3 linked regions of the Coturnix japonica genome follow. The protein of the gene in region 2 purifies or fractionates together with the protein of the main gene of each other region. This does not show direct contact. Links are inferred from orthologs where the notes say so. Each region holds a gene or a part of one and is shown on either strand. Other genes may lie near its edges.

Evidence for each region.
Region 1: the proteins of MYO6 (region 2) and LRCH3 purify together in Homo sapiens (co-immunoprecipitation; 3 studies listed by BioGRID and IntAct, with this or other methods). This does not show direct contact. The link is inferred for Coturnix japonica from reciprocal best matches to the Homo sapiens genes MYO6 and LRCH3.
Region 3: the proteins of MYO6 (region 2) and ARHGEF12 purify together in Homo sapiens (affinity purification with mass spectrometry; 4 studies listed by BioGRID and IntAct, counting the BioPlex papers as one, with this or other methods). This does not show direct contact. The link is inferred for Coturnix japonica from reciprocal best matches to the Homo sapiens genes MYO6 and ARHGEF12.

What each region holds. Positions count from the first base shown.
Region 1 is NC_029524.1:13,130,191-13,133,841, forward strand, and holds part of LRCH3 (DISP complex protein LRCH3), read left to right. Parts: intron 1-1,448; coding exon 1,449-1,593; intron 1,594-2,542; coding exon 2,543-2,669; intron 2,670-3,005; coding exon 3,006-3,111; intron 3,112-3,286; coding exon 3,287-3,423; intron 3,424-3,651. UniProt on the Homo sapiens protein: As part of the DISP complex, may regulate the association of septins with actin and thereby regulate the actin cytoskeleton.
Region 2 is NC_029518.1:73,396,463-73,400,113, forward strand, and holds part of MYO6 (unconventional myosin-VI), read right to left. Parts: intron 3,598-3,651; coding exon 3,447-3,597; intron 2,585-3,446; coding exon 2,376-2,584; intron 1,987-2,375; coding exon 1,908-1,986; intron 1-1,907. UniProt on the Homo sapiens protein: Myosins are actin-based motor molecules with ATPase activity. Unconventional myosins serve in intracellular movements. Myosin 6 is a reverse-direction motor protein that moves towards the minus-end of actin filaments.
Region 3 is NC_029539.1:3,152,104-3,155,754, forward strand, and holds part of ARHGEF12 (rho guanine nucleotide exchange factor 12), read right to left. Parts: coding exon 3,645-3,651; intron 3,243-3,644; coding exon 3,088-3,242; intron 2,940-3,087; coding exon 2,793-2,939; intron 2,026-2,792; coding exon 1,940-2,025; intron 312-1,939; coding exon 186-311; intron 1-185. UniProt on the Homo sapiens protein: May play a role in the regulation of RhoA GTPase by guanine nucleotide-binding alpha-12 (GNA12) and alpha-13 (GNA13). Acts as guanine nucleotide exchange factor (GEF) for RhoA GTPase and may act as GTPase-activating protein (GAP) for GNA12 and GNA13.

The sequences.
Region 1 (3,651 bases), on a different chromosome or scaffold from region 2:
CCACTGCATCCATCACTGCAGCCACACACCTGCAGCTGGACTCAGCACAGAGCCCACCATCCCCAGCTGCTGCTATGGCCGTCTTCTTTCTCATCTCTCACTAAGAGCTTCGTTCCAAAGAATGTTCCCCCTTTGCCAAAATTCCTCCTGACGTTGCCTTCAAGGAAACACATCCTTTTTTAGCAGGCTAGGAGAGGTTGTTGTTTTTTTTTAAAGCAGATTTCTGTTAATGGTTGCTTTAACCCTTGGAAGATGTTGTGAGTGTGGTGTGAGTAAAAATGCTGCAGTTACCAGCCAGACTCGTAATAGGTCGGACCCAATTTGAGTGAATGTGACTGCATCGCTGCCTCAAAACTCAGCTCTGATTTCATCTGTGCTGTAGATTGAGGGGAGGCTGGCAGAGCTCAGTCATTGCTGCTGATGGCTTTGGTGTCTTATTTTGTAGGGAGTCATTTCTTTAGAAATACTGACTCATGGTTAGTGTCCAGCTGTGGGAGTCTGGACAGCAGACCAGCGTGTAAACACTCTGTCTCAAACATTCTTTGGTATGATAAAGTGAAAGCAAAAGCTACAGAGATTTATCATGTTTGTGGTTAAACCTTTTCCAAAGCGGTGCAGTGCATTTCTTTGTGCCTTCTCTGCCAGAAAACTACCACATTTAATGGTAGTTTTGATTAAAGTTTTTCTCCTGCCCAGCAGGAAATGTTGGATCACAAAGAAATAGCAAATCTTGCTGCTTGCAGGGGATTGAAATCCTTGCATTGCGTGGTTGGGTGGCAGGGTTCTGCTGGGATCTGTGTGAAGCAGGAATGCCCTCTCCATGGAACACAGGGTGTGATGGTGCTGCATGCTCTGCATTTCCTTGGTGGAGTCGTTACACTGCCTTGTGTATTCTAGACTAGATTAGAAGCTGAGATTTCAATGCAATGGGGTACCTAACAGAATGCAACAGGGTACCTAACAGGAGGCTGGGAGAAGAGTACTTGTGGTCTCTGGTTGAAACCTCGTTTTGGTTTGTTTTTCATTGCAGCATCACTCACTCTGTACAGAGGATATACGCTATAGAAGATCTGTAAATCCATAATGATCTATACAATATAGAAGATCTGTAAATCCATAATGTATCCTGGAACAGGGATCTGAAGCTGGTCTCTCAGTGTCGTAAACTACCTCCCTTAAGCTTCAGGCAGTTTGGGATGTGAAAGCGTGGCTATGAAAGGAATGTTGCATCTGCCTCTCTCATTGTCACTATCAGATTTTGAAATATGTTGATTTATTTCCCTTGTGAAATGAAAATCCCTTCATAATCTTGAAAATTGTGCAGGCAGGATGGCAGAATGGAATCCTGTCCAGTGCTTGCCATGATGTGACGGATAAGGGCAGGTAATACTTGCCCTTGGGAAGTTGAAGATAACTTCTCAGAAAGGGTCTTTTTTCTTCCCCTTCAGATTTGTCACGGAACAGACTGTCGGAGCTTCCAGCAGAAGCATGTCACTTCGTTTCCCTCGAGAGCCTTAATTTGTACCAGAACTGCATTCGATACATCCCAGAGGCTGTTTTGAACTTACAGTCTTTAACGTTTCTAAATATCAGGTAACAACTGCCTTAAAATTTTTGCTTCAGCATCACTACTCTAAGCTGACAAGTTTGAGTGCTCCCATAAATAATAGACATGGTGTGTCATTATCGCATTGTTATACTGTATGCATTTGAAACAAAGCAGCCTGAACCAGCCTCACCCTCCTTTGGGGGGGTGGATTAGGGAATATAGGGATTAAGCTGGAGCTTGTAGAAGTGAAGTATGAAGAAGGAAGCTAATTCCAGTATAAGGTACTTACAGAGGAAGTTCCAGTGAGGTCCATGGGAAATACAGGTATGTGAACTGAAAGAATATTGTTGGATAGGCCATGAAATTCAGATCTGGGTACCTGAATGCTGATGGAATGCAATAGCTCTGTGCTGCGTTTTGTTTTGAAGGAGAGTCTTTTTTCCCTTTTAAAATCATTCTTATCCTGCGTGATTCTCATCTGAGGTCACAGTCTCATCATATGACCCCCTATTTGCTTTAATAGTAGTGTGTTGTGAAAGGTACAGATTGGATTTTGGAGCAGCCAAATTCATCGTACCAAGATTCTCGATCCATGTGATGTGCTGAATATTTCAAGTATATTTCTAATCAAGTGTCTAAGTGACTTTATCTGTGGCGTTTATTATACACTCACCTGCAGTGCTGCCTCTTTGCTGGCTTTTGGGTGGCAAGTTTTCAGCAGCACCTAAAAGGTCCCAGAAATGTTGTGTTCCCCAACACCAAGTTCAAAAGCATCAAGACACACTTGGTACTTGATATTCAGAGCGTGCTCAGCCACAGCTGGATAAAGCAATGCTGCTTCAAGGAAATGTGAAGACTTTATGCAACTCATTTTACAATAATTATACAGAAACTGAGTTGATAAACAAAACAGTGTGTGCTTTTTGTGTGTTAAGACGAGAGGTGGCTTCTCATGGCAGTTCTGATGATCTGGTTTTCTTTCTGTCCAAAAAGTCGAAACCAACTTTCAACGTTGCCAGTACACCTCTGTAGTCTACCACTAAAGGTTCTGATAGCGAGTAATAATAAGCTGGTCTCCATACCTGAAGAAATTGGACAGCTCAGACAGCTGACAGAGCTCGTGAGTATACAGTTATTTTTTAACTATCACTACTTAATCTTTAATTTAAGGGATTTAATTAAGTTAATTAAATCAATTTAATTTGATATGTTTAAGAGGTTCAGATGTGCTTCAGATAAGCTGATGAAAACTGCTCAGTCATTAAGATGCTCTCTGGGGATGTGCATGATGAATATTCTGTTTCTCATTCTGCTGAGAACTTTGTGATGGTAAACCAGTCACTTGTGTGCAGTAGCGACTTAAATCTGCTTTTGGCCTAAAAAGGGTTTGTCTCTGCCTTAGTATCTCCTGCTATGTCAGTGCAGAGGGCACTAACTCTTTACTCGTGCTTTGTAGGATGTGAGCTGTAATGAAATACAGACAATACCTCCACAGATCGGCAATTTGGAATCCTTACGGGACCTAAATGTCAGAAGAAATCATTTGGTGCATTTACCTGAAGGTGAGATTAAGACTGTCAGCTGTAGCAGCTGAAACTTGAAGCACTTCTGTATTTTAATGTCTTTTTATTCCTGTGAGTACCAGTAGCAGATACATTTAATTATTCGTAAAATAGATGCATGGAATTTTATGTACTTCTGAATCTGCTAAATTAAATACTTATTTTCTACTTCCAGAGCTCGCTGAGCTGCCTTTGATTCGATTAGATTTCTCCTGCAATAAAATAACAACAATCCCAGTTTGTTATAGGAACCTCAGACATCTGCAAACCATCATGTTAGAGAACAACCCTCTCCAGTCACCCCCTGCACAGGTAAACTGCGGCTGGGGAATCAGATGACTAGTTCAATTAAAAAGGGTGGAACAAAAAGCTGAAGGATTGTGTTAGAACCTTTACTTAAGAGCAAGAGCGCTTCAAATAACTTCTTTTCTGAAAGTGTCAAACATTCAGCCCGGCTGGAAAAATCCATTTTTCTTTTATTTATCGCATTAGTCTCACTTGTGGCTTTATATGAAAAATTCCCCTGTTAGCACTGTGCTA
Region 2 (3,651 bases):
CGCACTGCAGCTAAGGCCTAGTTAAAAGGTTACTCTTCTACAATAAGCACAGGCTTCCTCTCTTGAAAAGTCTGCACTAGAAACTAAGCAGTATTAAGCTGCTTGAAGGCTTTCAATTTAAAAAAAATATCCCTATTTTTTAAGGTATTGATGATTACTCCTGTCCTAAGTAACAAGAATGTAGCATATGATGTACCACAACCTTAATGCATGTCACTACACAATGCCATTGTGAACAGAAAACAAATGAATAACAAGTGGCAAACAAAACAAATTCAGTTTTAGCACTAACTACCCAAAATAGAAATCAAAGAGTGATCTCTAAATGGTGAGGTTAAAGAACGTTGCTAACACCTCTTCTTCCTGAAATTTCTCCCTCTATCTACCAAATCAACTCATTATAGCTACTTAACTTCCATCAGGAATCTAGCATGTTCCCAATCCACAAACATTCTCCTTCATATATTGTCTTCTTGACGATGAATCCACTATCCTGCTTGACAAACTTAACTGAAGTTATGCAGTACATCCACAGCTCTCTTATTTTCAGCTCTGGGCTCTCTAACACTGCACTCACGTTCTGTGACGTGCTGGCAATGCTCTTTCCCCCTCACACAGCCCAGGATGCCATTGGCCTTGTTTGTTGAAAAAGCCCCTATGTTCACCATAACCACAAGGCCTCCTCTGCAGAGATGCTTAACCAGGTTCCTCCAGCATGAGTCTATGAATAGGGTTATTCCTTCCCCAGAGATAGGGATTTTTTTTTCTTTTTAATATCCCTTTGTTGAACTTTATGATATTCTGGTCAACTAATTTCTCTAGCCTCTTTATCATAATCTCTCTGAATAGTAGCACATCCATCTGGCCTACAGAACAGTTTTTTATCATCTGCAAACTTGCTAATAGTGCAGCCAGTTTCATCATCCAGATCATTAATAAAAACATTACACAGTATTGGCCCCAGCATTTATCCTTAGAGTACAGCTTAAATGACTGGCCGCCAGCTGGCCATCATGACCTTTGAGCCATTTTTCAATCCACCTCATTGTCCACTTACCTAGCTCATACACCATCTGTTTTTTCTATGAAGACATTTGTAAGAACAGTGTTAAAAGCCCTGCTAAATTTGAGTTAAGTAACATTTGCTGCTCTCCCATTATTCACCAAGCCAATCACCTCATCAGATGAGGCTATTGGATCAGTCAGGCAGGACTTCCCCTTCATAAATCCACACTGACTACTCTCAACCACTTTCTCGACCTTCACTATTTCAGAAAGGCTTCCAGAATTATTTGCTCCCATGCCTTCCCAGCAATTGAGGTAAGGCTGATGGTTTCCCAAATTCTCGTCGTTGCTCTTCTTAAGACTGGAGTAGCACGTGCCATCTTCCAGAACTCAGCACCTTCCCTGACTGCCATGACCCTTCAAAGATCATCAAAAGTAGCTCTGAAGTGACACTGGTTGTAAGATGCCAAACAAATTTTTCACACATCTTATTCTGCTCTCTATTCCCATTCAACCATGTCAGCAAACACTACCAAAAGAATTTTAGTAAACTTTTAAATATTATCCTTTTAACCCTCTCTTATGTCTCAAGGAAAATGTAAGTGCTTAATACAAACAATTCCCCAGCAGAATCTTCTTGATGGGTTTCATTCACATGTATATTCTTTCTTATCTGAAAACTGAATTTAGATTATGCATTCTTCCTCTTGTAGTTATAATTCAGTTATAGCACTACTTCTACACAGATTGTATTAGGTGAACCAAATGCAACACTGCTGTATAATTTGGAAACCTACTCACAAAATAATGCCATTAGACTCAGTGGAAATTGTAAGCCGAAAAAAAAATAAAAACAAAAAAGAAACAAAAATGAATCTACAAAACCATAGCTAAAACATTACCTGAATACGCTTTTCTTCATCTTCCCTCTTTTTCCTTTCTTCTTCTTCCTGTTTTCTCTTTGCCTCAATCTCAGATTTTCTATCAGACAAGAGAAAGAGGAAATCAAAACTTTTAATAAGTTACTAAAATAATGCAAGCAAACAAGTAATACCAAAGCATTCTCCATAAAATTAAATGACAATCCAAGGGACTGTAGAGTTATGACATAAGCCGTATTTAAAGTCAAGGACTTTTGAAAGTCTGTCTGTATCATGAGCTGCATCATAAAATCTTTTAAATACTCTATCCTGACTACACTTAACATTAAAATTGTTTGGAAAAGAGAAGAAATATTTTAACAATGAATAGGACACCACAAGCACAATTCAAGCAACTCTCTTTAAGCACAGTAATAATAAAAATAACCTAATTGAGGGCTTTTCCTATTTTCTTCTTATTCTAAAGCCAGCAACTTATTCAAGACTCACAGACGCCTTTCTTCTTCTTCCTTCCTTCGCCGTTGCTCTTCCTCCTCACGTCTCTTTCTTTCTTTTTCCATTTCCTCCTGGATGCGTCGTAACCTCTCTGCTTCTTCCTCTTGCTGTTTTTTCTTTTGCAGTGCACTCAAAAGCTGCTCTGAGCTTCTAACTAAAGCATCATATTCTTTCATTATCTGTTCTCTAGTCATCATTGTGGTCTGCAAAATTATAATAACAAGAGAGGGATAATATTCCTTTGCATTTGTAATTCACTTTAAAAGATGTGTATTTTAAAAAATACATTTGAAAAATGAAAAGCTTTGAGTGTTGCAATTAAGTTATACATATACTGCATGGTCAGAGAACTTAAACAGATCCCTCCTTCCATCCTAAAATATTGCAGTTGCACTGCTCTCCTTATACAAAACGGCAGAAAAAACAGTCTCCATTTTATCACTGAAAACAGTCATGAATTTTCTTCGAAACATGAATTAATTTCTGAAACCTTGCCATTCCGTATCAGAAATTAATTTTTACTATCCTGAGATGAAAACTAATAACCTCATACTTTTCTGATGTGTTCTTAGTGGATATTTACCACTGTCTTTTATGTCACACTACAAAATAAATTTAATAACTCTTTCTATGGACCACATTCTGACTAGTGGATTTAAGAAAAAAAGTTACTGATAATCAATGTGTCATAAATAAATAAATAAAATTAAAGCTGTTGCCTTCACTACATGTTTTCAAATTTCACTGACAGCTACAGTCCAATTTCACCTTACACACGGATGCATACTAATAAAGCTGTGACATGGGATGTTTTCTGACCATTTTAAGGATATATCATGACGATAACCAAGTTGTCTAAATTTTATTAGGAAAAAGAAGTATAAGTTGTCAGGTTTACTTCAGTAATATTCACAAACAATTTAAACAAGATGTAGTAGTGTTCACTCACTCTGAAAACAAATTATATTTCTATATTTAAATGTCTTTCCTATAAAAAAAATTAAGTACTTTGACATTTTAAATTAAGTTCTCAGAAGATTTCTATTTTTCTGATTAATATCATACCTTAATTTTGGTCATTGAAGCATCGATTGAATGCTCCAGCTCCTTGATCTGCTTGCTTGTCTCTGCCTTCCCCTCCTTCAGAGCGCTTACTACTTCATTAAACTTATCAAGTCTCTTTTTCAGGGTACGGACCTTTATCAGACCATCAATGCTGTAAACGTAAGGCAGTTTATATGAGATGTTTTCGCAAGTCTGTATTTTTAAA
Region 3 (3,651 bases), on a different chromosome or scaffold from region 2:
GGAAACAGCCACCCAAGTGAGATGTGATGCTGCCTGGGGCAACATGTGCTTTCCTTCATTCCAGCAGGGCATTGTGTATCGTAATCTGAAGACAATGCGAAGTGCAATCTCATTAACTGTAACAACTTAATCTAAAGCCCTTCACTATCCCACACCAGCAGCTCAAAGCCATGCATAAAATTCACCTGCACAAAAGTCTGGAAACGAGAGTCCTTCTTCTGACGGGACTTTATGACCTCTAGAGCAAAGGGCTGGTTACTGCAGAACGTGGCAGTGGCGTGTTTCAGCTTCTCCTCTGCTGCTCCACTGAACTGTGCCAGAAAGTCATGAAAGTCAAAATTAGACAGACCCAACTTCAGCATGAGCTGCTGTTAACAGATATAAAGCCACTAGCACCGCTGGTCTCAGAAAGGAAGGGAGGAATAGTAGCAAAAAGGAGGAAGAGGGGAGACCTACAATGGTCATCAAATCATGTCATTGATGGCATTATCCAAATACCCCTTTAATGCAGACAGCCTGGGGATATCAACCACCTTGGTAGGAAGCCTAATGCCCGGCCTGAACCTCCCATGGCACAGCTTCCTGCCATTCATTTGTGTTTTATATCTAAGAAGTTGCTTCCATGGAATACAGTATCTTAAACATTCTGTTTTTAAGTCTTTGTTCGTCCAGCCTATTTAGAAGCCCTGCTATGTGTAAAACCCTACAGCTCTTCTGCCACCACTCCCAGCATTCCCAGTTCCCTCTACAAATGCACTGCAGATTCAGGGAGATAATACAGCCACTCGCTATAGGCTGTAAGAGAAGTGCAAAAACAGCATTTGGATGAATGATCAGTGATTATTTACCAGACTCTGGGCAGCAAAGCCAAGACCAAAGGGGCTGCTCCCTCCAGGATTAGCCATGCTTAAGGACAAGAATATAACATAGAAACACAGAAACATGGCTGGGGAAAACAACAGCCTTGAGCAGAGCTGAGAAATGTGCCGCAGATGACAGACAGATCCACTGTCACTGCAACTCTTCCCCATCCCTACTGCCCAATTGGCAATGCAGCAAAACCAACTGCTGAAAATACTCACTCTGGAGAATGAGATTTTAGTTTAATATTTGTGTTTTAGCCACTTAACCAGCCACCAGTCAGGGACATGTAACGATCACACTTGTAATGTCTAGCTTGCTTTAGCTTGTTCAAAAACGAATGCACAAGCTATTTTTCGCTCTTCACAACACACAGGGGAGAACTAGAAGAGGATTTTTCACTACCAGCCACATCTGATTTTCATTTTCCTCCCTTTTTTTTCTGGGATACTAAGAAATGGCAGGATTACAAAAATATAAATCACAAGAGACTTCCGCATGAACGCCTGAAAAGAAGAAGCAGATCAATCTTCAATCCCATATTAAGCAGGCTTGAAAACAAACAACACAACAGGAGACTCCCAGGAGAGGCTAAAGAAAAAAAGCCAAAGAGATTTTCACTCCTGCTCCCATCAGTTGGATCTCAAATTTGAAACAAAGCCTGCAAATAGCGCTATCAGTTTGAAGAGACTCAGCTATGCAAATTCTATAACTGGAAATCATGATTTTCGAATATCTTTAACTGTATCAAAAGTGATGCGAGGCTTGTTTCAATATTAGCGCAGTAAATTGAGCTATTACATCCTGCTCTCGTTTTACACCTTCAAAGCTATGTTTCTATTTTACCAATGCATCAAAAGGAACGTTTTCTTCTTCTTTTCTAGACCTCTTGTCAAATGAAAACCCTTTGAGCTGCCTCCGCTTTTCTCTAAACCTCTTCCCCTACCTCTTTGTTGGCTCCACACAAATAACAGCTCTCAGACCTTCAGTTCCCATTAGCTGGGAATTACCTTCATTAACCCCTGACACTATTGGCCATTTTCTGAAACATGTTTTCGAGAAGAAAAATGGAATTTACCCAAGAAAGCAAATCCTCCCCAATTTGGTCAATAACAGAAGTCTCATTCCTTTTCCGGACCGCTTTCATCTGATCATTCAATGCAACTTAGAAACAAAGAAAAAAAAAAAAAGAACATTTTATTAATACAGGTTCTGTGCTTCATTTTCCTTACTTTCAGTTTCTTTTAAAGTAAAACTTCTAAGAAAAGACCAAACTTGCAATGATTTCAATTACATTTAAAAAAGTGTCCTGTGATGCAATGAATTCAGTAGAATATCTAAGAAAATGTCATATCCCTCCTTTGCACTTCTGGCTCTCCTGCCTTTAACTGACCTGCAAGAATCTTTCCAGTCTCGTCTTATATGAGGCTCAACCTCACTGACCTTTTAAAAACCCACGGCTCATTCAGAACACGCTTCAAACCACCTGCCTACAAATTACCACTGATTATTCATTGACAGAGCCAGAAATGTGATTCTGAACAGTCCTTTCTGTAAACAATTAGAAACAGTGACCCTTCAAAACCACCTGCAAGACATCAATCCTTCCATGGCTTTTTCATGTTTTCCTCATCGACGGCTGTAACTTTCTGAACATTACCCTACAAAGGCTATTCATCAAAGCACTGCTGTTTTTGACAAACATGAATGAGCACAACAGTCTGTGTACACTGATGAGCTGAACTACTGAGCACATGTGCTCTTCAAAGTATCTTTGCAAATCAGAAAGGGGAAGACTGTGTGTGGAAAGGGGAAGTGCTGCATGAGGCTGCTTCTTGTTTCAGGATACCTGTGTCAATTTTTCCTCAGATATTTGTACCCTGAATTCCAGCTCAGATTGTGAAGCCAAGAAGCACCTCAGCCACTCTTACCATGAAGCCCCAGGATATCCTCCAGGTTTGAAAAGATCTTCTTTTTATCACTGGAGTTGAGGATCCCTTCCCGGGTGACACGCTGGTAGAAAACGTTATGCAGAACCTTCAGGGTGCGGACGTGAGCTCTCTCAGTGTAAAACAACTCTGAAGAGAGAAAGGCAGGATTATAGCCACTGACTTAAAGAAGTGTGACAATATAGGCTCAAATATGAACTAAATACAAGTCAGAAGTATGAACTTGCAAACACATGCAGGACTAGATTTCAACTTTCTGTTTGGTACTGCATCTCACCATTAATCACTTCTTGCCTCTTGATCTCATAAGGTTTCAGCCCCATCAGCACTTCTCGGCTCACAAGCTGCTGCCAGTTGGGAGGGTCTGTGTCCATATCAAAGTCATACAGCTCATCTTCACTTTGTACATCTGCAAAACCAACGCTGTCCACCCTAAGGAGAAAAAATATGCTGCATCACTCCCACTTTAGGCATGGATACAAGGAAGAAAGAAGAATCAAAGTACACATAGCAGTTGTAAAGCATTACACAAATACGCTCTCCAATAAGCTGTTAGATGTCTGAAGCCACAAGAATGTTAAGCCCTTCACAGAACAACTAAGTGAATATCTGTTCTTGCAGTATTTTCATAAATCTCCTTCTAACATTAGGGCTTATCAAAGGGTTTATCTGCATACTACCTGCTCCACCTGTCCCATGCACAGGTGTTCCATTTCATCCACGTGTTACTTAAGAACACTGGCTCAGAACAATGAACACTGCTGCATTCTACTTCATAACCAACTAAAATGTCAATCAAATCAGTGAAGTTCAAACAGTTTTAAACACACTTACTTGCGAA